Linked DNA regions of Drosophila melanogaster. The protein of the gene in region 2 purifies or fractionates together with the protein of the main gene of each other region. This does not show direct contact. Each region holds a gene or a part of one and is shown on either strand. Other genes may lie near its edges. The genes, in order: lin and bowl.

Evidence for each region.
Region 1: the proteins of bowl (region 2) and lin purify together in Drosophila melanogaster (affinity purification with western blotting; 2 studies listed by BioGRID). This does not show direct contact.

What each region holds. Positions count from the first base shown.
Region 1 is NT_033778.4:8,905,645-8,921,496, forward strand, and holds lin (lines), read left to right. Parts: upstream 1-8,879; 5' UTR 8,880-9,363; intron 9,364-9,420; 5' UTR 9,421-9,456; coding exon 9,457-12,033; 3' UTR 12,034-12,590; downstream 12,591-15,852. Other genes in the region: CCT8 (chaperonin containing TCP1 subunit 8), read right to left, coding at 1-1,029, 1,209-1,268; CG30349 (uncharacterized protein), read left to right, coding at 1,947-2,252, 2,306-2,835, 2,891-3,376, 3,433-3,561, 3,618-3,767, 4,843-4,940, 5,000-5,163; CG8252 (uncharacterized protein), read right to left, coding at 3,827-4,705; Pgi (phosphoglucose isomerase), read right to left, coding at 5,536-5,726, 5,782-6,310, 6,373-6,612, 6,961-7,543, 7,789-7,922; CG34219 (uncharacterized protein), read right to left, coding at 12,692-12,888, 12,948-13,170; CG8248 (uncharacterized protein), read right to left, coding at 13,706-13,822, 13,880-14,446; Spt (spitting image), read right to left, coding at 14,863-14,912, 14,976-15,077, 15,141-15,852. UniProt on the Drosophila melanogaster protein: Has a dual role as a segment polarity protein and as a modulator of the Abd-B protein. Required for Abd-B to activate the transcription of genes (including ems, cut and sal) that are involved in posterior spiracle morphogenesis.
Region 2 is NT_033779.5:3,768,755-3,784,606, reverse strand, and holds bowl (brother of odd with entrails limited), read right to left. Parts: upstream 12,908-15,852; 5' UTR 12,734-12,907; intron 12,688-12,733; exon of another isoform or gene 12,592-12,687; intron 12,582-12,591; exon of another isoform or gene 12,291-12,581; intron 12,147-12,290; 5' UTR 11,913-12,146; intron 5,670-11,912; exon of another isoform or gene 5,290-5,669; intron 4,915-5,289; 5' UTR 4,882-4,914; coding exon 4,028-4,881; intron 2,704-4,027; coding exon 1,323-2,703; 3' UTR 486-1,322; downstream 1-485. UniProt on the Drosophila melanogaster protein: Putative transcription factor. Required for leg joint formation, acting downstream of Notch to pattern the leg tarsal segments. Functions in the terminal pathway during embryogenesis, acting downstream of tll in the posterior of the embryo.

The DNA.
Region 1 (15,852 bases), on a different chromosome or scaffold from region 2:
GAAGGCCACAATTGTGGTGTCTCCCAGTTCCTCGATGCAAACTTTGTCGCAGTAGCCCAACTCCTCCTGACTGGGCGTGGTGATGCGCGGCAGGACAGTGGCGTTTACGGATCGGCTCAGGCGACGCAGGTCGAACTTAGAGTTGAGACGCACGGCCATCAGACCGTATTTGTTAAGGAAGTGCAGAGCCATGTCGCCAACCTTGCCGCCGGCCACAACCACCTTGACACCTGCGTCGGCGATAGCCTTGATCTGGCTCTCCAACAGGCTCTCTTCGCCGGAGGAAAAGCTCAATAGCTCGTCGGCCGACTTGATCAGCACTGTGCCCTTGGTCTCAGTTTGGATAATATCGACGGGGCAGGAGAAAATCACGATCTTGGCCTTCTCTGCATAGGTCACATCGCCTTCTACGAAGCGCTTGAAGACCATGCCGCGAACCACCTCAGACTTGGTCAGTCCGCTGCCCAAGATCTTACAGATGCGAATGTTGTCCACGTTGAAGGTGCCCTCATCCGGCAAGATGGAGACGCAGGCCTTGCTCACCAAATCGTTGAGGAAGTCCTCCTGGCCGTACTGCTTCGACATGATCGATGTGCGGAGTACCTCCTTGACCTTCTCCACATTGCGATAGTCCTCGATCTTGTGGCTCACCAGATTGGGCAGAATCTCCAGAGCCTTCTCCAAGGCCTTTTCATAGCCGTCGGAGATCTCGGCAGTGGTGATTCCTAGACGCAGCAGCTCCTCAGCGGACTCCAACAGAGCTCCGGCCAGCACCACCACGAAGTTTGTACCATCGCCCACCTCGGCATCCTGCATCTGGCTGGCCATGACGATCAACTTGGCGGCTGGATGCTCAACATCCAGCTCCCGCATGATGGTGCCGGCATCGCTGGTCACGAACTGCTTCTCGATGTGATTGATGATCATCTTGTTCATGCCATTTGGCCCATAGGCAGAGCGCATGGTCTGTGCAAACTCCTTGCAGGCGCTGATGTTGCGGAACACCGCCTCCTCCAGCCCACTGTACATCTGAGGACACAAGTAAAGCCATTAAATTAGTCATTTTTCTTTCATATGTCGAGCCCCGTTCCATGAGGATGACTAATCACGCGCCTCCGCAAGACGGCATGTTTTCTTTTAAGCCGAATCTCAATGAAACCGATGCCCGGCGGACTCCTCGCAGAGTTATTCCTCCTTGTTGCACTTACCCGGGCGCCATCCTTCAGCATCTGCGACACACCGGGAGCCTTGGGAACGGATAAAGCCATTTTTTAACACAGATTTCAATTTCACACGGAGTCAGTCGGTAAATTCCAGCTATAGTTATAACCTCAAAGTGGCCGCGAACATTCTGGATGGGATAGCGATGGCACTTGCCTATCGATTATCGTAAACGGTGACTGGCGCTATTTTATTTTTATTTTACATTTGAATTGATCTTTTTCAATAAGGTAACGATTCTCAATGGTTTATGATGAATAGCATGCAATTAACAATATAGTTCAGCAGTGGAGTTTACGCCCCAAAGAATCCTGTAAATCGAGTTTATTTCTTGGTCTTTGAACGCATTTACTTAAATAATCCAGGATAATGTATATAAGTTACTCCAAATAAGTAATATTTACAGTTGCAAAAGAATTTACTCATTTTAAGTTTTGAGGAAATTTTAAAACAATTAGAGTAAAATATTTTATTATTTAATTTAAAAACTGAAAAGTTTATTTAAAAAATTCACATTCCCATTGGTTTATTATATTGTTCACTCGATGAATTTTGTTTGCATATAATTTGATAAATCTTTCAAGGGTATAGGAAACGTCGGTAAATGCAATTCAATCGTGAGTCGTGCGTGACATTTGCGTGATAGATTGCATTAAGTGCGACGAGTGTGAGCCGATGTAAACACTAGCCTTAGCGCCCATCTCTAATTCAAAACATAAAAAACGATGTCGCTGGGCAAGAAGCACGTGTTGGGATTTTCGCCCAATGGTGGCCAACTATTTGCCTCGGTGGACGAGTCGGGAGTTCTGCGGATATGGAACACAGAGACGAACACGCTGTATCAGGAGTTTACGCCCAATCTACAGTTATCCGGGTCGTGCACAGCTCTCACGTGGGTTTTGGTGGCCGGTTCCCGGCCCAAGAAGTCGCGGAAGAGCCTCCAGGCACAGGATGCAGCCGGTGATCAGCTTCACATTGCTCTGGGAACGTACAAGGGCTCAGTGGTTATATACTCATTAGCCGAGGGAAAGGTGAGTCGGACAAAGAGCCTTGAAGGCGAATAAACCACAAGCAATCCTTGCAGATTTCTCGAACGCTCAGTGGCGACAGCCATGATGGACCAGTGACCTCAATTACAAATGACAACGCTGGCCACCTATACACTGTGGGTGCCGATTGTAGGGTTGTTGTTTGGTCCTTGACGGACGAGCGCTCCATCGCCGAATGGCAAGTGGGACCCGAGAAGCCCCAAAATATAGTCTACCTTCAGAAAAGTGGCACCTTGGCCATTGGCTACCGACAGCTGAAGGTGTACGATATCAAGACAAAGGAGCTGGTGGAAACGTTCACCGGCCACTCGGGCGAAATAAACACAATCAGCAGCGTGGCGAGCACAGATGGCACTGAATTCGTTTTGACCACCGCGAAGATGGAGCGCGTAATCTGCTTCTGGAAGATCGACAAGAAGGGCAAGAACAAAGCCTCCGCCTGCACGCTCCTCATGGAGGACTTGGCCTACTGTCTAACCAGCGAAGTGCGCGACGATGGTCAGCTACGTGTGGCCAGTGTTACCCGCAATGGCATCATACACATTTACCTGTTGAATGTGAACAGGTGGGTCATGTGAATACACGTTTTGTCACTCGTACTGAAGTACTATGTTTCACAGTTTATCCGCAGAGAAGTTTGTGAAGCCCAAGGTTTCGCTGCAGATCGTTTCCGATGGCGCCGAAACAGTGGAACCACTTCTAGCCGTGGCGGCCCACTTTGTGACAGACTCAAATCGCTCCCACGAAATCCTCTTTGGCTACGGAAGTCGCCAACAGCTGCAGTTTGAACGTTTTACGCCCAACTATGGCGAGAAACTAAACGTTATTGTGCGCGCCGATCCCAAAAAGCTCTATGCGAAAAAGAAGGGAAAGGAGCAGCCGGGCTACCAGGCCGCCACCAAGGTCCAGAAGCCCATTGTAAACCAAAAAAATGTGGAGTACAACAGCGCCCTGCCCATCTCGCAGAAGAAAGTGCAAAACGAAGTGCCCATGGAAGCCCGACTAGAACATCTTAAAATTCAAGGAACCAAACTGAGTGGCGGCAAGTTGTTGACGCAGAGCAAAACGCAGCTGCTAATGCAGGCATTACACAGCAAGGATCAGGCGTAAGGGATTTTCGAACAATGGCAATAGATGTTTTAATAGAAGTTCGTTTTTTAAGGATGATACAAGCCGTTCTGAGCACTCAGGATCCAGAGACGATACAGTTGACCTTGGATCGGCTACCGCTCGATTATGTCAATCCCCTGGTCAACGAACTTTCCATCCTGCTGCAAGGAAAGCACGCGAGGTGAGTGTTTTCCGTAGAGCCCTATTGAGTCTTTTTCTAAATACGTTCTTTTACAGTGTCCGCTCCGCCCTGCGTTGGCTGCACGCACTGACCTCCACCCACACTAGTGTCTTGATGTCCGAGGACAAGGAGGCTTTGCGCGAAAAACTAGCCGTTTGCCTCGGCGTGGCGGAGCAGCGCATGCACTGTCTATCGGAAGCTTTGCAGTAAGTAAAATTGGGGAATTGAAAGACACAAAACAAAGGTTTTAATAGGGAAATCAAGTTCAAGATCCCGATTTCTTTGAATTTTTCGGCTTGATATTATTCTTGGGCTTTTCAATGGTGCCGTGGCGACACTCCGAGATCGCAGCGAAGAAGGTCAGCTTGGTGTGCAGAATGGTGTCGATGTAGAATCGCTGAAAAGTGAACGAGTTGAGGCATCGTTCGCCCAGGCCGTAGTAGAGCGTGTTGTAACCCTCGAAGCGGTAGGTGATCATCACGGGATAATGCTTCAATAGAATCTTCGACAAGGAAATGATGAAACGCACCTTGGCGACGGCCAGAGGATTCGGACAACGGGGTGTTGGCCGAGAGAAATGGGCATCCACAAAGAGAATGGTTCCCTTTTTGGCCACCTCGTGTCGAATCGGATTGCTGATCACCACACACTTCGTGTCCGGCGAAAGTTCCCAGCGACTGACAAAATCCCTAATGTCGGCAATGGCATTGGAGTATTCAAAGTCCCCGATGGTCAGCATCTTGCGCGCCAAGCCACTGGATACGGAGTCCGCCGAAATGCCAAGGCCACCCGTGTAATGATTCGTGATCGAGGGATCATCCTCTCCGTTGGCCACAATGGTGTCGGTGAACACTGAAGAGATCAGGCTGATGGAGGACATCTTTTGCTTTTTCGGAAAGTTGTAGATAAAAAGACCACGCGGGTCTGACTCAATAATGGCCACCGCTTCGCAGAGTGTGCCTTCGATCAGGTCGATGATGCACTGCATATCAGCGTCATCGCAGGCCGGCTTGTTGCACTGGTTGACTAAGCTGGATATGCTGGGTATTATGGCAATGGGTAGGGCACCGCCTGGTCCCAATGCTGGCACGCCACTGCCTGGACTCGGGGGTTTCTTGTTGTGGGGGCTGGAGAAGTAGTCCATACAGCTAGCGCCATCATTGCACAAAAGATCCATTTTCGAAATCTGGCCACGACAAAATTTAGTAATGCGTGTACTCCTATTATTGTTATATTGGCAATATTGTTATAACACCTTTTCAATGCCTTCTTTATTTTTAGAATAACCGGGCGAGTCAACCTGATAATTAACCAGATGAAACGCAACGCGGACAATCATCTCAACGATAACAAAGCCCTGATCCTGGACGAAGATCCAGGTAAGTTATCAAGTGGTTTTATTCGCACAAGGCTCGAGTCTTAATTCGCTTGCTTGCAGATGAGCCCGATCCCGAAGCAGAAACGAACTGGAGCGATCTGGAGGAGGATCAGCCAGGCAGTCCGAAGAGCCCATTGGAAGACGAGCTGGTGGCCGACGACGACCTGGCGACCGACGATGGTAACGCCGACGCAGACACAGACTCTGACGTATCCATGGATTAGACAGTCTACCCGTAATTTAAGCTTAAATGCAATTCCCTTGTTGTTGCGCCGCGAGAAAATAAATTAGCATTTTTTTCCAAACACAGTCTTTTACATCGAATTCATAAATTTTTATTTACGGTTTTAAACTACGTGCAACAACGAATAGTGAGAGCCAATTGTTGGTCTAATTCCGACACGAGATTTCATCGATACGCAAGCAAACAAACATATCCAGTTCATAAATACAGTTGAATAATGTGCCAATAACAGGGGGCTTGTAGCTCGAGTATACATAAGCGGCGGCTACTGAATAACGGCTCAGAAACTACTAACAATTAGAGCATTTGTGTAAACATTTCTTTTTAATTCGCAACAAATAGCCAGACATGATTACTTCCAATTGGCTTTGATGAAGTTAATTAGACCGTTCGTGGAACTGTCGTGCGTGGAGACCTCGTTGCAGTGATCCAGCTCCGGCTCGATGGCCTTGGCCAGCTGCTTGCCCAGCTCCACACCCCATTGGTCGAACGAGTTGATGTCCCAAATGATGCCCTGAACGAAGATCTTGTGCTCGTACAGCGCTGCAAAATCAATTGACATTAATAGGTGCTCGTGAGCTGAAACAGTGAGACGTACCAATCAACGCGCCTAGGGTGAAAGGTGAAACCTTCTTCACCACAATCGAGTTTGTGGGCCGGTTGCCGACGAACACCTTGTGGGGCAACAAGTTATCCAGCTCGTTGCCGCACAGGCCAGCCTTGGACAGCTCGGTCCTGGCCTCGTCGACCGTCTTTCCGGCCATTAAAGCCTCCGTCTGGGCAAGGAAATTCGATAGCAGAATCTTGTGGTGCTTGCCGCCGGCAATGGGATTGTGTGTCTGGGCGGGAGCGATGAAATCGCAGGGGATCAGGCGGGTGCCCTGGTGGATGAGCTGGTAGAAGGCGTGCTGGCCATTGGTGCCAGGCTCGCCCCACACGATCGGACCAGTGCTGTACTTGACGGGTTTGCCCGACTTGCTGACGAACTTGCCGTTGCTCTCCATATCGCCCTGCTGGAAGTAGGCGGCGAACCGGTGCAAGTACTGATCGTAGGGAAGGAGGGCATGTGTTTCCGCCTTGAAGAAGTTGGAGTACCAAACGCCTAGCAACGCCAGGATAACAGGAGCCTAGGAAAGCCAATAAAATGGTTAACTATAATCATTTTACTTAACTCTCAGTTGAGTCTTACATTCTTCTCGAATGGTGTCGTCTTGAAATGGTTGTCCATGAAGTGAGCTCCATCCAGCAGTTGCTCAAAGTTCTCAAAGCCAATGGACAGACAGATTGACAGTCCAATGGCCGACCACAGGGAGTAGCGACCGCCCACCCAATCCCAAAAACCGAACATGTTGGTGCTGTCAATGCCGAATTCGGTGACCTTTTCCTTGTTGGTCGACAGGGCCACAAAATGCTTGGCCACGGACTCAGGCTAAAACAAAACAAAAATAGTTTGCAAATATAGGCCAGACTAAAATGTTGTGATGTAACTATTTGCTTTGGCTGCGTTATCTATTTTACATTTAAGGCAAGTGGAATTTCATATTGGAAACATTTAATTCGAATTTGAAATCCGATTTAGCCTTTGATTAAGTCCATAGGCTGCATTTGATAAGCACATTAAATTGATTTGATAGCTTGAACACGTCAAAATGGTTCTTATAGAATGATAAGAAAAATCACTAGGGTCCATTGATGGTTCATTGTATTAGTTTGGTTATCTTTGCTTAAAGCGCTATCAATGAAGGTCATTTAATGTTCGACCTTTCGCTGTACTTACCTCCTTGGAATGCTCCAGGAGCCAGGTCTTGGCGGAGGTGGCGTTCGTAATGGTCTCCTGGGTGGTGAAAGTTTTTGAGGCGACAATGAAGAGGGTGGTCTCGTAGTTGACCTTCTTGAGGACCTCGGCCAGATGAGTGCCATCGATGTTCGACACAAAGTGGGAGTGAAGGCCCTTGCCGTAGGGCTTCAGCGCTTCGGTGACCATCAGCGGGCCCAGATCGGAGCCACCGATGCCGATGTTGACCACGTCGGTGATCTGTTTGCCGGTGCAGCCGCGCCACACGCCGGAGATGACCATGTTGGTGAACTCCTTCATGTGGGCCAGTTCGGCGCGCACATCGGGCATCACGTCCTTGTCGTCCACCAGGACGGGATCCGTGCCGCGGTTGCGCAGGGCCGTGTGGAGGACGGCGCGGTTCTCCGTGATGTTAATGTGCTGGCCGGAGAACATGGCGTCCCGCGCGGCGTTAACGCGGCGCACCTTGGCCAGGGTGAGGAGCAGATCCCAGACCTCGTCATTGATACGGTTCTTCGAGTAGTCCAGCAGTATCTCGCCATCGTTCTGGGTGTGCAGGCGCAGGCTGATAAACAAACGAAAAACATTTGACCTCAGAGCAAGTACGATTCGGAGGTCGTTGCTGTGACCTTACGCAAGGACAAATCGAGTGGCGGCGACACTCGACAGCCGATGGTGAAAGTGAAAGTGGGCAAAGCGCAACTCGATGAATAAACGATTGCCGATGGGGGATACACGAATGAGTGTATGTATGCGGGAACTAGATACGTAACTTCCACCCTCTGAGGCGAAATCGACACAAAAACCCACCTGTATTTTGAGAATCTCTTGGAATCCTTCACGAACAGGTCCTTGATGTTCAGGTCCTTGCCCTTGGAGTCGTAGTACTCCTGCAGCTTCTGGAACGCTGCCTCCTGGTTGAGCGGAGGAAGTGGGCCGGCCATCTTACTTCAGTTATCCCAAGCAGGAACAGCAGGCGGATGCGGAGTAGAAGGGCAAGGGAGGACTATTTAGCACTCGATGCAAATTAGTAGCACACGGAGAAGAGAGCACAGGCGAACTGCTTCGACCGCTCGCGACACTTCACTTATAATAGCGGATCCGGCTGCTTAGGCGTCGGGTAGTTCCTATTATCTGGCTCCGGCAAATCTCCAGAGCACCGCACCACAACTTCGCCGTGTTTGCTTTTGATAGGTACTGACTGAGCGGCTGCCGATTTTCCAACGTCCTTTCTGGAATTCGCGAGCACCTTTCAATGTCAAATGAAAAACAAGCGAGTGTTGCCACGTCGGCCGCGCTCTTGTTTTAATGTGCCGATCGGTTTGCAGTGTGTGCGAATTTACTGTGTGTGGCCGCGTGGAGATGAACTGAGAACTTCCTACTCCTAGATCGTCTGCACCGGTAGGCAAAAGGACATAAACTGAAATTTTCAAAACGACTTAACCGCCGCTAACGGCATAATTTTATCTCGATGTGGCAGCACGCTCGGTGTTCAGGGCTGTCAGGTGTCAATGACTATCGAATAGCATTTCTATTATTTAATGTCAAAAATGTAAAAATAAAAACATTCTTAAAATTACTTTAAAGTTACCCGTTAAATTAGCACATATAAATTGAAAAATATTTGTTATCTGTAATTAGCTTCTCACAAAATATTTTTTGTTAAGTTCTCTGCAATCTTATAATTCTCAAGCACTTAATTATTATCACGCATTAGAAAATTAAAACTACCGGAGTCATTGTTATTAGAATTACTTTAGCAAACATTGTTGCTAAAGTTATAAGCGTGCAATAATTATTTTTAAAAAATAATACATTTCGGAAAGTAAAATATATGTGAATTGAGTTGTGACGACAGAGCTATGGTTGCGAGCCTGGCTATGTATATAGCTAACGCCAAATACCAAGATCCGTTTGGCAACGCTGCGCAAGTAGGGTTACCAGGTAGCTGAAACTCGCTAAAAGATGGCGACGCGCACTTAATTTTTGTTTTTTCCCACATAATAAAGTGTAATAAAACCAAAATAAAAGCAGTGCCAGAGAAACAATCGGAGGCGCTTAAAAAGTGAGAAACAGCACACGACCCAATCGACTGGCCCGGGCACGAAGCGAAACGCGAGTGCAGTGAAACTCACATAAACATTGACATGTCGCTGGCCCGAAGAGTGCAACAAGTGTGTGAAAATCGAATTGTGGCCGTTTAAAATGTTTGGAGGAGCAGTCAGAGCACCTGGCGGCAGCTAGAGCGCCCTCGTCGCCCCCAAGAAATCATAGTGTGTCTCAGGAAGCCGAGAGAATCGCCCCACGAAGCCAGGCAGCAGCGTCTGCACACGTAACCTTGTGTGCGCGTAGCACGGAAGCTGTTTGTCGGAATCGGGTTTGTAGGTATGTGGCTGCGAGCCGCCGCTTAGATTCGCTGCTCACCGGGCATTTCGCTTGCAGACCATTTGCAGGACGTCGGGTACGTCAGCGCGGAGGATGGACACCTCATCCGCAGCAGGATCTGGAGCCGGAACGGGCGATGTGTGCCCATGCTCCACGGTAGCAACCTCCACGACCTCCGCATCAAACGAACAGCCGCAGACCAAGCGCCAGAAGATCGAGCAGCAAATCAAGGTGGGCTCCAAGGCGCTGCCACCCCAGCCGCCCCATCCGCCGGATATACTGGACCTGGACGCCAACAGCAACAGCCACCTGTGCTCCTCGCTCTCCTCGTCCTCTTCGCACTCGCTGTCAACGCCAAGCACCGCCAACAACTCCCCCACCACCACGCCCTGTAGTTCCCGGGCGGCGTCGTACGCCCAGCTGCTGCACAACATCTTGCCACAAAACGGGGACACAGACCTGCACAGCCAGCCTGAATCCGCCCATGACGAAGTGGACAGGGCGGCCAAATTGCCCAACCTGCTAACCCTCGACACGACCAACGGCAATGGCAGTCATGCTAGCAGCAGGAGCAATTGCTTGCAAGCAACAACAGCCACGTCCATCGACGATATGCTGGAGTTCGAGCAGTCCCTGACCCGCCAGTGCCTGTGCGGCGTCTCGGAGCGAACGCTGCGCAAGCCCTTCCAGTCGCATTACTCACAGGACACCAACGGCCAGAAACGGATAGCCTACCTGCGGGAGTGGCCCACCAACAAGCTGCTGCAGTTTCTGTCGAATCTGCAGCTACTGTTCGATATCTACCTGAAGCAGAACGCAAAGGGCTTCATCTGCACGCGGATAATGGACGTTTGCGACGCACTCATTCGCAATGACCACAAGCTTATCGACGAGATTATCGTGCTGGCCGGCTACGAGAACTCTTACGTGCAATTTCTGGCGGGACGTGTGCTAGCCGCATTCCTGGTGATTGCCAAGCAAGAGCTGAATGACGAGTGGCTGCAGAAGATCGTCGACCAGCTATTTAACTTCGAGCAGCTTGACCAGGCGGCCGTGCAGAAGATCCACTTCAGCCTGGACATCATCAAGCGCATAGTGGAGTGGAAGGATATGGAGATCCATCCGCTGGACGACGACTGGATGGCGTCGGCGAATAGTACAAGTGCAGCCTCGTCAGTAGTGCCCCTTTCGACAGAGGCGTCCGTGAGCTACATGCATTTTCCCGTGCAGGAGCAGCCGCTAGCCACCAATTATTTTGCACTGCAATTTCGCGAGGATACGGAAGGTGAACGAGAGACGGGGCAGGAAGCACCTGACAACCGCGACCGACATCGGCGGCACTTTGGCGAGGATATGAACGTCGCCTACGAGCCGCACCCCGCTCCCCAGTCCACGACCATGCCCAGCGGTTGCCATGTGGTCACACTAACCGACTCGGAAAGCTTCGATACGACGCACCTGAAGTGCATCACCATTCAAAAGCTGGAGCACAAGTGGCCCACGCTGGTGAAGAACATGTCGGAGTTGATGGCGCCGACGCATCAGGATGCGGCCGAGCACTGTGTGCTCAACTTCTTGCAGCTATGGGAAAACATCATCTCGGTGAAGGCCAATCTGTCCATCGACGAGACGCGACCCTACTACGCCCAGCTGGACAAGTTTGAGCTGCTGCTCAGCCACAGCCTCTCCTGCACCGTGTACAAGCAGATGCTGTGCCTCTTCAACGAGGCATTGTGCTATGGTTCCACGCTGGCGCTGCAGGACATGCTGCCCGAGGAGACGTGCAAGCTGGCTCACCAGATAGTCTGCCATGTGCGCGGCTTCCGCATACTGGAGTCGTTGCCGCGGCGACAGCCGGACAACATGGTCAGTCTGATCGGCTACAATGGCAAGCCGATGGTGTACGCCAATGGAACAATTACCCTGGCACATGCCGCGCAATCAGGGGACAGCGAAGAGGACGGTGCGCCACTGGACCTTATCGAAATGGATAAGACACTGTTGCAGAAGATGGTGCTGTTGGTGCTGAAGTCGATAGCGGTGACGGTGAAGGAGATACGCAGCGATTCCTCCGACTCATCCATCGATTCCACCGACTACGATGCCTTCCAGGACATGATGCTCATTGAGCGCTCGATCCGCGATGTACTCAGCAAGCTGGAGACGTTCATAAAGCAGACGCTGGAATTCCATCCGGAGTGCCACTTCAGCAAGATCCTGATCCACCTGTTCGACGACCAGGACGACCACTTGATCGAGGCCATGGTCTGCACGCTGGACGTCACGTCTGGGATATCGTTCCGCAACAACGCCTTCCCCGAGCTGGTGGCCATGCTGAATCCGGTGTACACATTCCTGGAGTTCCTCAAGATGACATCGAACAGCTCGGACCTGCTGCTGGACCTGCTGGTGAGCAACGAGACCTGCTTCCTGCTCTACCTGCTGCGCCTGCTCAAGTACATCCGCATGAACTGGACGATGTTCGTGCACAGCTGTCACACCTTCGGCATGGGCAGCGCCATGCTAGACGAGGCGATGGGCGTTCTTATCCGGCTGCGCCTGCAGATATCCCGCCTCGTGTCGCGCCAGCTCTACCCCTACGACATTTCCCCCGTGCTGCGCCTGCTCGAGAGCTGCGAGAGCCTGTACGAGGGCAACGAGCTGAGCTGAATGCGGCGCAGGGACGAACTTCAACCACATGCAATTAAAATACGTAATTTATTTTAATATTTAATGGAATAGGAGAAACTAGCGCAAAATTCGATGAAGATGGAGGCCTTGTAGAATACGTGTATTAGCCGTAGGGACCAACCACTCCGACCATAACTCCGCACCCCGATCCAGTAGCGCGTCAACCGTAGTTAAGATCTTGCACCCTCTTCATCCGCTTCGCCCAGCAGGTCTTTCAACCCAGATACATACCCAGCTGTATGTAATTGTCATTGTAATTGTAATGAGCATCACAAGTTCGTAGTTAGTTCGTAGATAATGGTTATATCATAGGTACTGAATTCCAAACTAAACACTACGCTAGCCTAAGATTTTTTTAATCTTGCCCTAAGTAGAATAATGTACAATAGGATGGCAAAATGCTGCGGCAAACGGCTGCCCGCCGAAGTGGGCGTAAATTCGGTGTCTTCGAGAAGAATATTCTTTGTACGTTTTTTTAAAACACTTGAATAATATAACATAATTAACTGATTAAAAGAAACGCATTAAGAAGGACTACAACGTGTGCGGTTTCTGTTTCCGAATGGTGTGTTAAAATACTGTAGTCTCTTTGCAATTTCGTTGGGCTGTGTCCTGATCTCATCTGGACTTCTGGACTTCAATGGCGATTTATCATGCGGACGCGCCGCTTTGGATCAGCGGCTCCACTTGGCATACCACTGACTTCTGGTGGTGGCCCAGTGAGGCTTATCACCGAGCCGCGCCTGGCCATTTCCGGAGGATGTGGACTCGATACGTGCACCGTTTGATAGTTAATGCTGATCGGAACCGAGGAGCGACGGTTAAGACGAGGCTCTAGAGAAGAAAGTAGTTGGTCTTATGGGACGTGTCACTTTGTTGTGGGGACTCTTTACCGAAACGGGCTTCTCCGGATCCCGGCTTATGCGGATGCTGCTGACTGGGTCGGCTGGCCAAAGGAGATACCACCCTGTAGTGATACTCCTGAACCAGCGGAACGGACCTGGTGAAGCCTCCCTCATCGTTTAGCGTGTACTTGAAGCGATCCACAGATACGGAACGCTCCTCGCTGATTATATGCTTGCGCCGGAAGATGGGGGACTCATCCACTTTTGGCATGCATTGGGGAAATGTAGAGCGGTCAGTTTGGGATTCGGGGTGAGAGAGGATCGCAGAGGATTGCGTAAAAGCCCAATCGAACGGAGGAAATGAAACGCAAGCTAACACGGCTACGTATGTAAATTGATCACAGGAAAGCACATAGTAATTGATTTATTTTAGGATTACGTACACTTAGGACAGTAATATACATTCGAGTATGTACAACCTTATATTCGGATTCAGTACAGTTTCACAGATAGGTGAAGAGGAGGTAAACAGTGGAGGTCGTTCAAAAACACAGATATCAAACGCATAATCGAGCCCGAAAAGTGCGATGTACAGATGTATAGATGTATAGAGATTGAGGACAGACGAGAGATACACAATACACAACAATACATTTTCCGAAAAAGTCAGAAAACTGGTGCTTTAGAGTAGAGAAGATTGGCTAGTTCAGTACATAGTGGTAGATACATTTAGATTTATAGGATAACAATTCACTTGATCCCTCGTTAACACGGTGTAATAGGCTAGGCACCTGGCCCCCAGCGAGCTAAAACTTTGGCAAAGATTTTGGTGAAATACCTTTTGATGACCGGCGATCCTGCTTGTGGATCTGGGCATAAGATTGCAGCGAGCACCGGCGCAGTCGCTTGTCCCCTTTGTTCTGCTGCCGAAGAAGGATTATTCACGTGGCAATAGGGAATGGAATGCGGGTTATCCTTACCGACTTGTAGTGCTGGTTGATGTCCGAGGCGGCCTTCAGAAGCAGATAGACAAACACAAGGGCGAACAGGTAAATAATGGGCTCCGCTGTGTTACTCTTCTTGCCAACTTCCTTCTTCTTGTGCCCCTCCGGGGACTTTATCAAACGACGAGGTTGCTTGCTGACCCCATTTCCAGTGCCGTTTTTGGTTCTCTTCGTGGGCCTGCCTTGGGATCTTCTTGAAACTGCCTGATTCCGATTGGATTCCTTTCCGAAAACGTCCAACCTCTGGCACGATGCATCTGGAGCGGCGACATCCAATTCGGCGTCGGCCATGGCTTCCGGCTGGGCATGGTGCAGGTCGAAGGCAGCCACGCCCGGCTTAAAATAGTGCCTGTAGTTGCGCTGCATCCCGGCTACCATGAGATACACAGTGCAGAGCACCACGAGGATCCCCAGCGGCACCACATGATGGTTATTTGTATCCGTGTCCCTACTCACGGCACTTGCTTTTCGGTGTTTGGGAGAACAAGGCGGTGGCCCAATCTCTTCGGACAGAGCAAATTTATCGCCGGCCAGAGATTTCATAGCCGAGTGCTTACTGTTTACCAAGCAATTACCGTGTGTATCTGTTGACTGCGAGTCCTGGCTGCCGCTCGTGGTGGAAAATCGATAGGGATTGCCCACACAGCTTCACATGTTGGGTTGAACGAGGGTGTCCAGTGCAATTGAAAGGTCAATCGACCGAGGGAGATGCGCTGACAAGTGTGCTATGTGTCTATATATTTATTGGAACCTATTGCTCTACTTTTACAACAGTCTAAACTGTTTCCGATGCGATACTCTTCGCCACCCGAGGAACATACATGTTTGTGTGTATGCCTGACCTGACCTATGACATTCAGGTGGCGACGTACGTTAAGTTTGAATTGCAAAATCTCTTAAATGGTATGAACTTAAACACTAAACTAAATAAAAAGTTATGTACAAATGGTTGAAATGCTTCAGCATTCAAAGTATCCATTGGACATTCCAGTGAGTTGGTCGAGTATATCTAAAAATATACGAAATTTAATGGAAAAACTTATAAAATAGGAAATGTAATCATTTTAGGTACCTGTGATTTGTAGATCCGTAGACTGATTACTCATGGAGGTGTATAGCTTTCTGCTTTCAGCTATATTCTGCCGCTTGAACATGACAGTCCGTAAACTTTCTCCTGAAAATAGCATTCAAAACATTGGTAACCTTACCAAATTTATCTAAACATCAGCCGACTTACTTCTCAGAACATTTCCATGGGGTTTTGCCTTATCCGATTTAATGTCCAAGGTATTTGTGGGTAGCTTGTTGTCCGTTCGTCTAGTTACTCTATTCCTACGCTCTGTGTCGTAGAGGATACTGCCGCTTCGGGCTGTTTTATAGCCAGTGAAATGGGTTTCGTCTTCATTTACCCCCTTGGTATCATCAGCTAAAAGGGGAGCCAGGGGAATAGGAAGTTCCTCCTCTTGTTTACCAGCTCCCAGGGAGCCGTGCAATTTGCGCAAGATCGTGCGCAAGATCTTGAAGCGCTTGAGGATTCTCTGCGGCTCCACCTGGGATGCGCACATCAAAATAGCCTTGCACTCGCGCAGTACCCGGATGAACTGCTGGTAGTACTCTTCCCCCAATCGGTCCTGCGTTTCGCTTAGACCCTTTCGGTTGACTTCCAGCTGAAAGTGCTCGACTAGCAGCAAAGAGATTTGAACCAAGTCCTCCAATCGCTGCTTATCGAAAAGCTTTTCCGTTGCACTTATCCCTGAGGTCAGTATCTCCAGGCAACAACCAACGAGGGCGCGGCTGTCGATGATCTCCTGAAGCGCTGCCTTGAACTTGGCCACCTCCTCGTTAAAGTGCTGCTCTAGGATGTCCGAGTGCAAATCGGAACCATGGGCCTGCAGTGAAGGTATCAGAGTGGTGTCCAGTGATTCAAAGGAGGCCAGACAGCTGCGCAT
Region 2 (15,852 bases):
AATTCCAGGAAGCCGGGCAACTCCAACTGTCGGTGATGACAATTTGCGTGGCATTTTAATTGAACTTTCTACGTGTTCGAGTGGTGTACTTTGATTTGATCCCCATCCACCGATTTTTCGTCGATTTGAGTCAATGTTAAAGGCGTTGCCACAAACCGCAAACTGTCGTGTCTAGGAGGTTGGGGAGGGGCTTGGTGGCTGGGGCCTCGAAACGTGCCTGAAGTATTATTACCGCCGTCTGTGATTGATGGCCTCATGCGAGTGAGTCAGTGGATTTTTATAACTCTACGCAGATCCCTTCCTTTCAATCAAGCGGCAAAAAATCTGGACATCGATCTCGCCGATATTAGCTAACTTCATTTCAACTTAACTGCCCGGAGTGCTTTGAATAAAGTGGATTTGAGGCGATGCCTTGGGATTCTTGGCCAGATTAAGTCGATTTTTTTTTTTTACTTCAATGAAAAAAATGGCACGCAATTGTTTTTCATTATTAATGCATACTTTATTTGAAATCAACTAACTCGCTATGGTTTGAATAAAATCATTTAAAATTGAAGGAAGACCATGGAATTCTATGGGTTGCTTATATTAACTACTGCAAAACTCTTAAAATTTAAGCCTAATTACATAAGGTTCTACTGGAATGTTGCTTGTAGTTGGATTTTTGTTTATGCTCTGCTTTACACTAACTTTTACTTTCAACCATTTTTTTCCCTACAGCAAAATCGATTAACGATTTTGTTTACTCATTAAGATTAGCTTACCGGATAAGGAAACATAAATAAAAAATTGGAATTCACTCAGCAAACAGCAACACTTAGTGTTGGGCCACACATTAAAAACTAATCGATAGACTCTCGTACTAAAGGCTTAAACATTTAAATCGGTAGATTTAAGCTAAAATCCTAACGCATAAGAGCTCTATAAAATGCAACAACGGAGTTTGTTTCGCTTACAATTATCGCTTAACTGATTTTATTACTTAGTTTAGGTCTATTGCCTTGCCTAGACATTGTACTAAAAAGTATTAAATTGTAGATCTAAATTTATTTTAATGTACTTGTGGGTCTAAAACGATAAATCCTCGTTTAACCATTGGGAACAATAACTGTTTGTCATTATGATATTCAACTGTTCATAAGACCTTCTAAATGAAATACCAGAAAAAACAACCGAGATATATATTTATTAGGAATACTACTACTTTTTGATATTTCAAATTCGTAAGAGCTTTGATAAATAGTTTTCCAAATTGTGTTGTTTTTCTATTCCGATTTTACCTCCATTAATGGATTGTTTTCTAGTTCTTTCTCGGTTTACTTCTAACGCCTCATTATGTCCTCAATGCTGAACCCTGTTCTTCTCGGTGGTGCAGGCGGTGGTGCTATGGGCGGTGCTGCCACTGGTGGTCCCTTTTCGGTGGTGGCTCCACTTGTTTCCGTACTCGGTGGTTTTCCCAGAAGCTGTCTGGGGGGATGTCGCGACATATTCAAAGCATATATGCTGGGACTATCCACAAAGGTCCTTTGACCCAATCCAGGATGGTGGTGCGGATCCATCAAGTCCAAGGTCGGTGCCGGAAGAATCCTCTTTCGCATGGGTATCGATCCCAGGAAGCTGGGCATAGCTTCATGCGGTGAATGCAAAGGTTGATTGGGTGGTTTACCCGACTCCGGCTGGGTTATTATAGTGGGTGGTGTATGTGGTGGCGGTGGAACACCAGCCTTCGAAAGGTTCAAGCTCTTGTGGTGCAAGTCGCGTCGAACGTGCAGAATGGGCAAATAGGGATCCCCGTTGGGTGGGAGTAAGTGTGGATGTCCTGGGTGCTGGTGGGTTGGCGGAGGAGCTCCAGGTGGTGCAGGCGGCGGTCCAGCTGCCCCAGGTGGTACAGAATATCGCACAAAGGAAGGTGGAACGGGTAGGCTGGCAATGCCAGAGTTCCCGGGTTCCTCCTGATGTTTCTCGCCATGTGGCCGCATTGTGTAGGTTTCACCACCCTCATGATGACAGTGGGTGACTCCCTGGCGTTCCGGCTTGGTGCCCACTGACGACGATGATTGCGATGTGGCGGCAGCCTTACTCGCCTGGAAACGCGCCACTAGTGCCACTTCTGCCTGCTCCTCGTCCTCGGGATCAAAGTCGTCGTCCTCTTCCCTGGGCAAATCGTGTACTCTTGGCAGATCCTGCAGTTCCTCTTCCTCGTCGAAGTCATCGAACTCCTCTTCGCTTTCCTCATGATCGATGGCTGCCTTGCGCTTGAGTCTCATTCTTTCGGACTCAGATTTCTCACCCGATCCTCCAGACTCGCCCAAATTGTGAACTGGCGACTGGCGAGGCGAGTCCACTTCCAGCAACGAATCCTCCTCGTCGCCACTTAAATTTCTGGCCTCATCCTCTTCGCCCACATCCACATAGTCCCCGGAGTTGACCTCACCCACTGCATGGGTCAAGGCATGGCGTCGTAGATCGCAGTTACGGCGGAAAACTTTGCCGCATGAAGAGCACTCGTAGGGCTTGTGATCCGTGTGGGTGAGCAGATGGGTCTTCAGGTTGGAGCGCTGATTGAATGATCGACTGCAGACGGGGCACTTGTGGGGTGATTCCTCCATGTGCAGGATCTTGTGGACAGCCAAGGTTCTCGATTGGCAGAATCCCTTGCCGCATTCCGTGCATTTGAAGGGTTTCTCCTTGGAGTGAATATACCTGGGCGAATACAAGTGGAGAAACAATTAGACTTTATTGTTATAGCGTGGGCGTTTTCCTGGTAGCTGCAATTGGTAGCCCAGGTTGACAGTTATCTCTGCTCAAATGCAGCCTTAACTTGAACCGATAAAGCTCACTGATATACAGCTTTACAATACTCTAACTAAGGATATAACTGGCTAGAGCAGACAATAGAATAAATAATATAATACTATAGCATATAATACCTATCTTTCTCTTTCAAAATGAAACCTAACCTGGATTTGTTTTAACCTTAAACCCAATTCTTTAAAGTTTTTCATTAAAGAAATCCTATGATTTTGTATCCTCTTAACTGATAGGGTATTTAACTTTCGTGTATGCGATCTGGCTGCATTAATTTTTTATGTTTATGGCGGCCATCTTGGCAATGGCGTCCACTTGCTGTTGGATAGCAGCAGCCACAGTTAAAAGTTAAAGTCCCCATCTTCGACGGAGCCACAGATTCAGCATCGCATCGGAGGCAGCAGCTGCTGGTGGAAAAAAAAAAATAAATGTATAAAAACCCAAAACAGGTTCTGCCTCCGAAGCACCGAGATTCTTCTCCCATGCTCCGTGCGTTTCTGGTAAAAAAAAAATACAAAAAACTTAAGAAGAATTAGCCCCGCGGCAAAGCAAACAAACGACAAATGGACCGATACCGAACGATCAAAAGACAGAACGCTCGGACAGGCCGACACATTGAAGCCGGGATGCTGGACCTGCTGCCTGGCATCGGCATGGGCATCGGCACCGGGATACACAGACCCGATATATAGCCCCCAACCCCTTGGCCATCCCTCAATTTTAATGCTGGTGGAGGAGCCCCAAAGGAAAACCAACAGAGTTAATTAACTTTGTGTTGTACTCTGCGGCCGAGTTGAAGTTTTACTGGCCGTCAGAGGAGCTCTGATTTTGGGTCCGCTTTATGGGGACTTACTTATTTGAGTTGAGGTAGGAAAATTCGTCGTAAAGTTTAAACATTTCCTGGAAAATTCCTTATGGTAAAAGGGGTCTTTTGAAGCGATTGTCTGATATATCTAAAATCAATAAAACTCCATCTACGAGTAGTGGTCGCCTTTCCCTTTTGGCCGAGATTACTGTCACACCTGTTCAGAATGTGTGTATAAACTGCCTAGTAAGCAATAAATTACATTGATCTAATTATCCTTTGCCTTTACAGGGTATTCCATTATTCGCCATTCGTTCACACTTTGAGCACAAAGAATAACTCCAGGCCTGATGGCAATTACCCGAGCAGACACTGCCCCCTTTTGTGATTACTTGTACCCCAACCTCGACTCACCTGTGATCCCTCAGGTGATCCTGTCGCCGGAACGCCTTGCCGCAGATATCACAGGAATAGGGCCGCTCGTCCGTGTGTGTCCTCTCGTGGATGAGCAGATTGTACGACTTGGTGAATTGTCGATTGCAGAACTTGCAGATGAACTGTTTTTTAGGCCGCGATGCCCGACCAGGAGCACGTAGCAGGCGCCTATCGAGTCCGGCATGCATTCCAGGACCCAGGCCAGGTGGAAATAGAGCTGCGGCGGCGGCTCCTGGTGGAAATGGAAAACTTCCGGCTCCCGTGGGCGATGGACCCGGTCCGGTGAGATATGGCGGAGGTGGCACGCCAGCTGGTCCGTACAACACTCCAGGCGGTGGCACACCAGGACCGCCGGGTCCTCCAGGACCTCGTCCTAACATTGCCGCCGCCGCAGCCGCCTCCCTTAGGGCCAACTCCTTTCGCTTGTCCGCCATCATGGCAATGATTTCGTAATTGGAATTACTACCCGGGCGCACCTTTCCGGTGGGCAGAACCGGCACAAAGGCAGAGATCTCGCGATGATGCGATGGTGGTGGCGGTGGCGGCGGACCATGCAGTCCGGCCAAATGCTGCTGATAGGCCAGCTGTGTTTCATACGCTGAGATCCGGCTGGCCGATGAGTTGCGCGAATCGCCGTTGCCATTCTGGGAGCCACCATCCGATCCTCCGGATCCGCCGTTCCTATCCGCCGCACCAGGAAGACCGCCACCACCCACCGCCGCCGCTGCCGCCGCCATCGAGTTCATGAACTGATCCATCCGGGAAGGTCGCAGCATGGGTATCGCACCGCCTCCTCCGCCGGAGATCTCGCTGGATGAGCTTTCCGTGGGCATTATATTGGAGGGGCTCTTCACATTCCGTTGGAACTGCCGGAGATAGGGATAGAACAGAAAAAGCCGAAAATAAAATAAGGGTAGTGGTAAATAACAATTAGTACACGATTGTGCTGGGTTAATTGGGCTCTCGTTTTTTTTTCGAGGCTTATCTTAATTGCGAACCGAGTGCAATAAACAGATATTTCCACGTTGTATTCTTTATTGCTCCTAGGGTAGTACTGGGTATGATAAAAACTGACGCAAACTGGTTTAAAATAGATATATTACTATTAACTTAGTTTCTTCTTGGTGGGAAGTTTCCTTGTAATTGAAATATTCATGATCTTGGTTTGGCAAGGCACAGGAATATATACAATATATACTATAGAATATTTACTCTTTTTATCTCAACCGGTTGTAACTCACTTTTTAGATGTGAAATTCTTCAAATTTGCTTTTTGCACTTCTTATCACAAAATTAAACAGCTTTATGGGCAATTAACTTGCAAATAGCCAAGGATTATCACATTAGCTGATCTTTCAGAATTTATCCACGTGAACGTGATTTAGTAGTCACAAAAAAAAAAATAATGAAGAAAATATTTTTCTCGAAAATAACCCATACGATTCTGAGAACGTTTTGGTATCACAGTACGTATATTTTCACAGGGTAACTAAGCAGTTTATCACATTATGGCCCTCGTCTATGGGTTTGTTGCTGTGTTTTTTCCATAGGAATTTTATTATTATTGTTGGTTTATTATTATCAGCGGCGGACTGCCGACGACGGCGAGTGAAACTAAACTGAAAACGAGTCGCAGTTTGGCACCGCGATCGGTTGCTTCCAGTGCGCAGGTTAGATAAGATTGTGCGTCTAAAAAAACCTGCCTCCGAACCTCTGAGACTGAGTAAGCAGCACAGTAGTAACGATATAAACACACACACACACACACAGTTATATTATATATGTGCCTGTGATATATGGCATATCGGCAGATACCCCGGCACACTCAGATACAGATACAAAGATACAGATACAGAGGCAGGCAGCCAAGTTGCCGTCGGTTTTGGTAAATGACTCGAACCGAACTCGACCGACTGCTTACTGGATTTACGCAACAGGAGCCTCGACTTCTGAGTGCCTCGAAAGAAGAAGGGGCAGAGGCAGGGGCAGGGGCAGGGGATCGGGTCCCGGAACGTGATCATCACGATAATAACAAAATAATGCACATAATAATGATCACAATGATGGCCGGACCATAAAGTTTGTGGCCCCATATTGCAAACGCTTCTGGCTGCCATCTTCCCAACGCCTTGCACAGCAAAAAAAATGGCACCAATTTTGTACCCAATTCTATGGAATTCTATTTTAAGATCTATCTTTTACGATAAGATTATATTTGTTATAATATTAAAAGAATTTATAGTAATATGCTTTAAAATTTGTGGCTCGCAAAGAGTGCGCCCCAGAGAGCAAAGTTTCCTCAGTAAGTCAACCTTTTTTTTCGGTGTACTATCCTCATTTAAATGTACAACCAGTTGAAAAAAAAAATGCTTTAAAAATAACCCAGCTGTCGGTGCAATGACAGTTTTGCTTATCATTTTGCTAGAATCGTTCTCGCTGTCTCGGTTGATTTTAATGCAAAATGCTGCAACGTCATTAAGACCAACATTAACATTCGGCTAACAACAAGTGAAGTGATCGTCATAGTTGGTTAAAAATGAGCTTAGCCAAGTTTTTTGGAGAGGCGCCCATTGTTGAAGTTACCGTTCTTTCCGTACGGATGACTAGTCATTGTGGTGGTCTCTTATCTATGGAAATTATTTTGGCATTGTCTGGCTGGAGAGTGCGCTGTCAGATTAGCTCTATAAAGTAGCTGAAATCATGACTTGATCATGAGTGTATCATTGTTATGGGGGAATGACTCTACGGACCACGTATAGTTCAAGTGGATGAGATATAAGCAGGTCCCAATTATTAATTCAAATAGCTGTTAGATGTGGGTAGGTCTTATCGTGCTATCATATCAGCGAGTCTTTAGTAGACAACGGAGCACGCAGTTAAGATATTAGGCAAATAGATGATCTAATTGTAATATTTACACTAGAAATGCTTACGAAAGCCATATCGAAGCGTTTTTGTTTCCCTAATACGACTAGCACATGCCAAACTAATCTCCACGTTTATTAGATAGTAATTGGATAATTCTTTCAGTTCAATACCTTTTAACTCTCACCCATGCGAGTTCTCGTGCCCTCACTGATAATCTGTCGCAGTCTATCTATATTCGATTCAATAAAGAACTTATCTGATCTAATAAGTCCCCCAACTTAGGGAACCTTTGCTGTAGATGAGCGATGGCCCCGCCATGCCTCATTCGATTACGATCCCGATAATCCCATTCCAATTTGGGCTCACGTATTTCTGGTAGCCTCGAAAAAAAAAAAAAACTGAAGTGTAACCCGTTTTGGGTATTTATATATATTTTTTTCGATTTCAGTACTTTTTCTAGGGATTGTTTCCACACTTTTGCATTTACGACCGCTTTGGACCCACGTTTCACCCCATACCCTGTGCACATACAATGTACAATTCAGCGTTCATTATCTTTTTTGAAACATCGGCACTTTTGAAAACGTCAAGCCAAATAAGAAAAACAAATAAAATTCATGTAAATAATGGACATCATCAGCAAAAGCGACGGCACGTAGACTGCCGTAGAAATATTGAGAGAGAGTTGTGCGCACAGATACAGATACAGATGCGGAGATACAAAGATACTCGTACTCAAAGATCCACAGATACGTTTGCGCAAACGGTTGCCCAGTAAATGAAGCCAAAGGCTTAAAGTTTCCAATATGTGTGCGTCTGAAGGTGCACTGGAAAAATTATTGTGCACTCTTGTGAATTATTTAATATTAAAAAAAAGAGTATATCAAATAATTCTGAATATATAGGGAAATGAACAAAAAATAATTAGTACGTACTTTTTTATGTAATATTGAAATGTGCATATTTAATTAGAGAGGTAATATTAATATCTTTTCTTTCTCTGTATCGTACATATAATAAAAAGAGCCAGAAGACCAACTACTGCTGGGAGGAAAATAAAAGATATCGAGGAGCAATTTGGCTGCCACTTTTTTCCCTCCTCTTCTTTTTGAGCCGTCTTGCTTCTTTTCCTTGGATTTCTGGGTCCGGGATCGGTTCGTTTGCTGGGTTTTTGTGTGTAAACAACTGAGGCCAGCAGAAACCCAGGGCCCAGCAGAGTGAAAAGGTTTTAGTTGATAAAAAAAAAAAACAGAAAAATATACAAACACACACAGACACACACTGAGCAAACGGATTTAGTATTTGTATAGAAAACGCAGAGAGCTGAGGAGGCGAGTTTGTCCCTCTGATGATGGCCTACGATGGCTGGAAATGTCCATGCGTCTTACTGCCCAGTGATTATGTATTGAAAGGGGTATATCAGGATTTCCCGACCAAGCCATTATATAACCTTTAATATCTTAGAAGGATCTGTGTATTTACAGAAAACAGAATGTTGCTCAATGACAAGAAAAAAATAATTTTGAATTAAATTATCATTTAACGTTATATGAATCAGTAAGATCAATCCCATGTTACCTACTAACCGGAGCTCAACTATTTTAAAGGTTCTTAGCAATGGTTTTTGAAATAGGGACCGTTAGCTAGAAATACCTACCACAATTTTAAGGCCGAGGTACACCCGCGGTCTATCAGTAAACCTTTTATTTCGGACCTTATCTTCTGGGCCGAGTGCTTACCGGGCCCCCATATGCACTTCAGTTTGCTTACAAAACACCGGCCAACAACAACAAACAAGCCAGAAGATGACGACGAAGAAAAGTGGAGTGGTGGGAGGAGTTCCCCGGAGGAGGAGAATGGGTATGGGTATGGGTATGGGTATTACGGGTGAAGGAATGGAAAAAGGGTCGCCGAGATCCGCTGTGCAGTGCGGAATGCTCTTGGCCAGGCTGTGTGTTTTAATCCCTTCGGGATACTTTTTCTTCCACCGAGTGTGCATATGTTTGTGTGAAGGTAGCTAATAATCAAGACAGCGATGGAGAGGAGGAAAAACCGACGCAGACTTATAATTATAGTCGAAGAGGAGAACCAAAGAGACCTGCACTTCACATGCGTTAATCTGAAAACCCTTTCGGGCCCAAGCAGCATCTGAGATTATAGTCAAAGCTATTAAAAATCTAGCATAATCATTGCCCTCGGTGGAAAGCAAGTTGCGTTGTTGTTTTTCTCTTTTTTTTTTTTTTTTGCTCCCGAGGTAGGCAGGCGATCTTCCTGCGCAGCCTTGTCTATAATTTTCTTGATTAATATCCATGAGATTTACACATTTGGAGTGCTGGCCAGAACCCTGCACCTCAACCCTCCGCCACCCCCCGCGTTCCTGTGTGTGCTGGCCATTAATTTAAAAAGCTTTGCTAATTTCGCGGGGAAATCTGGAAACGAACAACTGCTAATGAAGTTTTATGGGTTCGGGAATGCAGCTGCAGCAGGATTGATAATGTCGTTAGCATAAATTGAAAATGCTTTCAAGTTACGACCAAAGATTTGTTATGATTAAAGTATGGAGCACGCGGAGTGAGCAAGAATATCCACCAATGGATTTTTATTAAATGATAAATGGCGAGCTGCAGATAACCAGATTCCTCTGGTTGCTGAAATAAATATTTTTTTTTGAATTGAAACCTTCTTAGGATTAACTGAAGTTCAGACAGTTAGTTCCTAAAATTGAATTATTTCGGCTTAACTTTGACTCTTTCTAATCCCTCTTGAAGTAATCCACTTTGAATGCTAAGCCGATCTTCGTATAAATTCTATTGTCATATTGTGCTGCTCCTTTCATTCGAACTAAATCCATTCAAAAATTTCACCCTTGAATAGAACTCTTAAGATCTTTTGTTGGTCGGATTGCTACTTTTTCAGGCAATCTATTGTGTTATAATTTCAATGGGTCAATTCTTATTTATTGGAAGAGTTTATGCTAATAAGTGTAGAAGCACTAAGACTATGATTTATTAATTCAAATGCAATTGGATTATGCTAATTGCACACAAATCTTGGTACAAATTATTTATATATTTTTTTCTTCGACAACTTTTGGAACCCAGCCCAAAACTAAACATGTAAACTGATAATCACCTTTCCGCTGTCTGATTTCATTGATAGCATTAAAAATTCATATTCCCTAGACAACATCTAATTTCCCCATCAAAATTGATGAGTTCCCGTTCCAGAACAACAATAAATGAACTGGTCTATCAGGTGAATTATACACACGTGCCAAAACGAGGCGTGTCCATATAGCCATTTCAATTTAAAACCCGAATATGGCGATCCCTAACGAGCCATTGTTCTGCGGTTTTATGGTAAATCTAAATTCATCAAGTATTTTGTCACGATTTTAATTAATTTCGATTTCAATTTTCCTGCCACAAGGCAATTACCAGCAACATTTTCCCCTGCTGCTGGTGCAACCGAAAAATGATAGTTGGTGGCCCAAGATGGAGAGGAAAACCCACCCAAAGAGGTAAAGCGTAATAAACTTTTATGGTACTCCCTTTCTTATGCTAAAACTCTTTTTGGACACAAAACCAAATGGCCCATAAAGCAAGACAATGAATATCCAAAATAGATCTCCACTGAGGCGAAACAAAAGCCAATAACTTTATAGAACCGCAACCAAAAAATACAAAAAAAAAATAATAATAACTCAGACTGTGAGAGCGCGGGAGGCGTTCTACAAAAAAAAAGCTTAAAAATGAAGGAAAAAGTAAAGCATTTAAAAGAAATCAAGAGATGTAGATGACGATGATGATGATGGTCTGAGGTTGAGGCTGAATCCGAATCCGAATCGGTATCTGAACCCAACAGAAGCTTGCGGCAATTGCGTTTCCTCTTTGGCCACACGTTCTGGACAATTAAAGCCCCAGCCGAGCTCCGAATCTGAATCGAGCCAAGTTAAGACAGCGACCACGACCGAAAACCGAAAACAGAAAACCAAAAAAACCGGATTCCAAGCCGAGAAGGAGCGAAAAAGACGGCGAGAGCGACCACTGGCCACTGGCACTGGCTACAAGTGAACTGGTTTACAAAGAAAAGAAACAGAAATGAAAGAAACATGTGAAAAATCACGATCTATAAAGCCGATGCACTTAATACCCTAGGCAAAATAAGTAAATAATACTATAGATCAAACTAGAGTAGACTTGTTGAAAAAAAAACACTGGAATAAATAAGAAGCTTATAAACTATCAGCTTATTAAACTAAGTTTGCCTAAATTTCGTAAAATATATTTTTAAAACCTAACGCGATGCTTTGAAATTCTGTAAAATTAAAGTTTTTCAGAAATGTAACGTTATTAACACCGATTAATATTTTTAAATAATATTTTACAAATTGTGTACACCATTTTCAAACGAAGTACCCTTACCAAGAGCACCCATAAGAGACCCCCAGAATTCCAAGCGAAGGTTTTTCGAGTCCGGCTCGAACCGACCAACTCGAACTGAGCGCCACAGCAACAACAATGGGGCAAGCGGGTGGTTCAGGATGGTGGGGAAGTTTGCGGGGGGATGGGGGACGTACTCCACCGTGGACTGTGCGGCACCACACTGAGTTCAGTGGCAATGACAGTGGCACATGCAGTTGTAGTGGAAGCCGCTTGTCGGTCGACAGTCCGCCAACCGCCAACGTTGTTGCGCTCTCTTTCCTGTTTTTTCGCCCCGTCTCATTCTATTTGTGGAGCAGGTTTTGAGATATATCTTGGGTCTTTCTCTCTCTCTCCTTCTCTGTCTGCGTACTCGTTATATTTTTGTACTCGCTGCCTTTTTGGCCAACGCAAAAAATACCAAAATAAAAAAATAATAAACGTAATTAGCTAGCCCTACGCCACAAACAGAAAACAAAAAAAAAAACAACAAAAAATAAAACAAGTAAAAATAAGTGGTGTGGAATTTTTGTGTTCATCTGGGAAGGCAGGGCCTGTTCTCGGCGGAATCTTACCTGTGGGTTAAACAGAAGAAAGCCCCAGGCTCTTTGGGCTTTATCTTTGCGTCCTAAAGTATCCAAGTAGTTGTTTCAATATGATTTTGCTGGTTTTTTGTCAGTTTGTAAGCTTTGAAATGCTTGGCATTGTTTTTGGTTTTTAAAGTAGTAATTTATATCATTTAAGTGGCACTTGAATTGTATGTTGTTTTTTCTTGTTGTATTTGTTTGAAGACTTCTGTTAATACGATTCTGTGAATTTAAAAGTAAATAATTTTATTAAAATTTTCAAAATATTTGTCGGAAATTTTTTGTTATATTTTCAGGTTTGATTTTAATTTTAACAAGTATTTCACCGAATCATTCTCAAGTAAATGTATTTAAAAAAACACGCACACTAAGGGACAATTTTGAGATTCAAATCACGGCACGATCGCCCCAGGGGGTGGGGCTGAGGGGGCGGCAGGGGGGCGGTTACGGGAGCAGCAGCAGCATCAACGGCAGTCAGCTACCACAAACCACGTAGTTTTTTTCCTTCCAAAATCCACGTACAACTCGCGCACAAACACACGATGTATTTGTATCTCACAGATATGAAAACCGAACGAAGAAAAACCCGAACCGAAACCTCAACCTCAACGAACTGAAAACCGAACGAGAACGAGAGATACACGGCAGCTGAAATGTGTTTTTCTACATTTTGTTTGAAATAGGAGCTGAAGCCAGTGCAGCTACCAATTCGCTCCTCAAGTAGTCCCAAACTCTTCCCACACACAGAGTCAGTTGCAGTTGAAAAGCGCTTTTCTCGAGGCAACTGGCGATGCAACAAGTTCACTCACACACACACACACACTAGCGCTCTGGGCCCGCTCAATAAGATACATCGGCGGCGAAAGATACAGATAGATATAGAGCGAGAGGCACTCACAATGCAGTTCACTTTTCCAACAGCTATTACCAGCGATCCGCGCGCAGGTGCGTTGGCCACGATCAACTCTCGAAGACTGAGCCACGAACCCAAGAAACAGGGCCCGAATGGAAAAAGAGAGAATCGAGAGAATCGCGGGCTGAGAAATGCGTAGAAAGAGACAAGCGACGAGTAGCGAGCAGTGGCACTAAAACCAGCTTAGTGCACTGTGGAAAAAGTTTTAACAATTCTTAAATATCTGAAGAGTAAGGCTCTAATTTTCTGTAAATAACAACAGTATAAATCTATCTGCTTAAATATACTAGATAAATAATGGATGCATTTACATATTTTTCTGAATTAACTAGTAACTTATATTCAGTTTGAATATAGTACGACATTTCTTTCAGTGGAGGAGAGGAATTAAACCGAACTCAACCCAAACCCAACCGGCCGCCAGTCGCACGCTGCTAAATGGACGGATGGGCCCGTGGACGGACTTATATGGAGACTGGCACTGGCGGAGCGTGGAACGTGCATTCGTACGACGAGTTATTGTCAGTTAGAGCGCTACCTGTTTACCGACCGACTACCGACTACCACCGACTGCTTTTTTTTTTTTGGCCCAGTCGAGAGGGTAGGGTACAATTGGCCCGGGTGTTGCCAGATTGCCGTTGCTGCTGCTGCCCATGGATCGTTATGGTGGCTTCACCCGAAAAGGAGGAGGAGGGTGTAACTCTGGTAGTTCCCTGTTTATTGTTATGCCTTTTTAGTGGGGGTGTATTTTGTTCTTCGGCTTTTGTTGCGGTTTCATTTAGGGGAATGACTAATCAGAAAGCATTTTTAGGGAGGCAAGGTGATAAGGTTTCTTCGAAGAAGGGGTTGCCAAGTCGAAAGTTGGGGTGAAATAAAGTGCATTACTCACACGACTATATATCTATATTATGACAAGTTCCAATGTTCTACTGATAAGTAAATATTTATTTGGAATAATTAGTTGGTAGCTTTAGGGAAAAATATTTATACATATGTATTTAAATATACACTGATGATTAATCGGCAGCCGAGTTATACAATTCATTTATGGAAATAGGTCGTAAAACAATATAAGTCTAGAAACCATCTTATCGCCAGACTGACTTTTATTAATGGTAATTAGTCCTTATAAAAGAAGGCGAGCACGGGAACTTGGAAAAAAATAAAACATAGGTAAATGATTGATTCGAGCTAGGCTATGTAAATAGGTCTTATATTATTATAATAGACTGTAAAATTTCTATTCTAACAATCTGGCAACCTCTGCTCGCAATGCAGCATCAATGCGGTCAAGTGGTAAAAGAAAAGACGTTAACAAAAAGACCAAAAATCAGCTAGGGTCCCAAAAGTAGAGGGAGTTACGTTTCGGCCACGACGGTGATCATGGTCGTAATGATTCCGAGATGCAGAAAAGAAAAACCCGAAAAGTACCCAACAAAAGAGAGTCCGTAGCCATGTAATTAAGGTGCTGCACAGTGGAACTAAATTGTGGCTGCTGCCACTGCAAAAACAGTAAGTGGAAATGGAGATACAAAGCGGCAACAGGCAGAAGACCAGAAATAAGTGGTAGAAAAGAGAAGACGGAAAAACGGTAGCTGCCTCATAGGGCGAGCGAATTGTTATGCTAGTCGTCGTCGACTTCCCCCATCAACAACTGTTGCTCTTGCTGCACTCGGAAAATAATTTTCAGCATATATAAATAACAATAAGTAAATAAGAAATAAAATAAATAATTACCATAATTGGTCTCCCTTATAATTGGATTCCACAATACATAAAATTGAAATTGACTATTGTTTAATAATAATATCTAATATCTAACCCTTACCTTGCTCTTTTTGCTTAAAATAAAGATGTACAAATAAGATATATATGCTAATGCGAACCATAAGATCGTTGTGATTTTTCTGAGTGCCCGTCGGTTGAAGTGGCTTCCCTCCTTGCATATTTTGCATCGCTTTACGATTTTAAAATAAATTACTTGAAATTTGTGTAAAACATGTGGCCAACTCGGAGTTCAGCTGGTAGTTTGTAGCTAGAGGGCCAAAAGCAACAGGTTCATTGATCGCATTCGAAATGCTTCGTTGGCCCCAGCAGGTAGCTGGTGTGTTTGATACTTTTGGGCTGGGCCTGGGACCATATCCGAATCTGAATCGGGTTCCAATGGGAATCGGATCGTTGAGCCAAATTAATGATGTTTAGATGCATTTCAATGCCCCCGGGCTGTCAGCAAGAGGCACATTTGTCATTTGTTCTTGGTATATTTTTTATTTAATAATTAAAGCTCTTATTTAGTTTTCTTTTTTCCTTTTTCTGTGTTAGGTTTTTGCTGTCTCGTTTTCCACTCGATGAGTAACAACATAAAATGGCTGACTCTTATGTATATATCATATAATCATCATAATGCATAGATTTATTATCTAATTTTTTACGCCTCGCCAAATTGGAAATCTCTATTTAAAATATATAAAATATATATTTATATATATATATTCGTTACCGTATTAATAAAAACGAAAAGAAGCTTCAAAATTGTTGCATCCTCACTCAATCTCGGTATTTGAACACTGACCCAAAAAAACAGGAAATCAGCATTTTAAAGATCATATCTTTATATGACAAAGTAACTACTGGATTCCGAATTAATCGCTATTATATTATTGTTTGACCTACTATGAACGTTGTAATGTGTGTGTGTATGCTTGTGAATGAATGTGTTTCCTAAAAAAAATCCAACATATCAAAAAGCTAACTAATCCTGGCCTATATCGTAATCGCGTCTAACTAATAATCGTTTCCAATAAGGACGAAAACCGTTGTTATTTATTATTCACAAATTGTTGTGCTCAATGCGATGGAAGCAGCTATGGAAAATGGGAATAATCTTCTTCGACTTTGATAACGACTTTTCGAACTGTTACACTCTGATAAATCTGTAATTTTGGTCTCGCTTGAGCTATTTTCGTACTATTTTATTACCCTTTCTGTAAATAGACATTTATCTAAAAAACATTT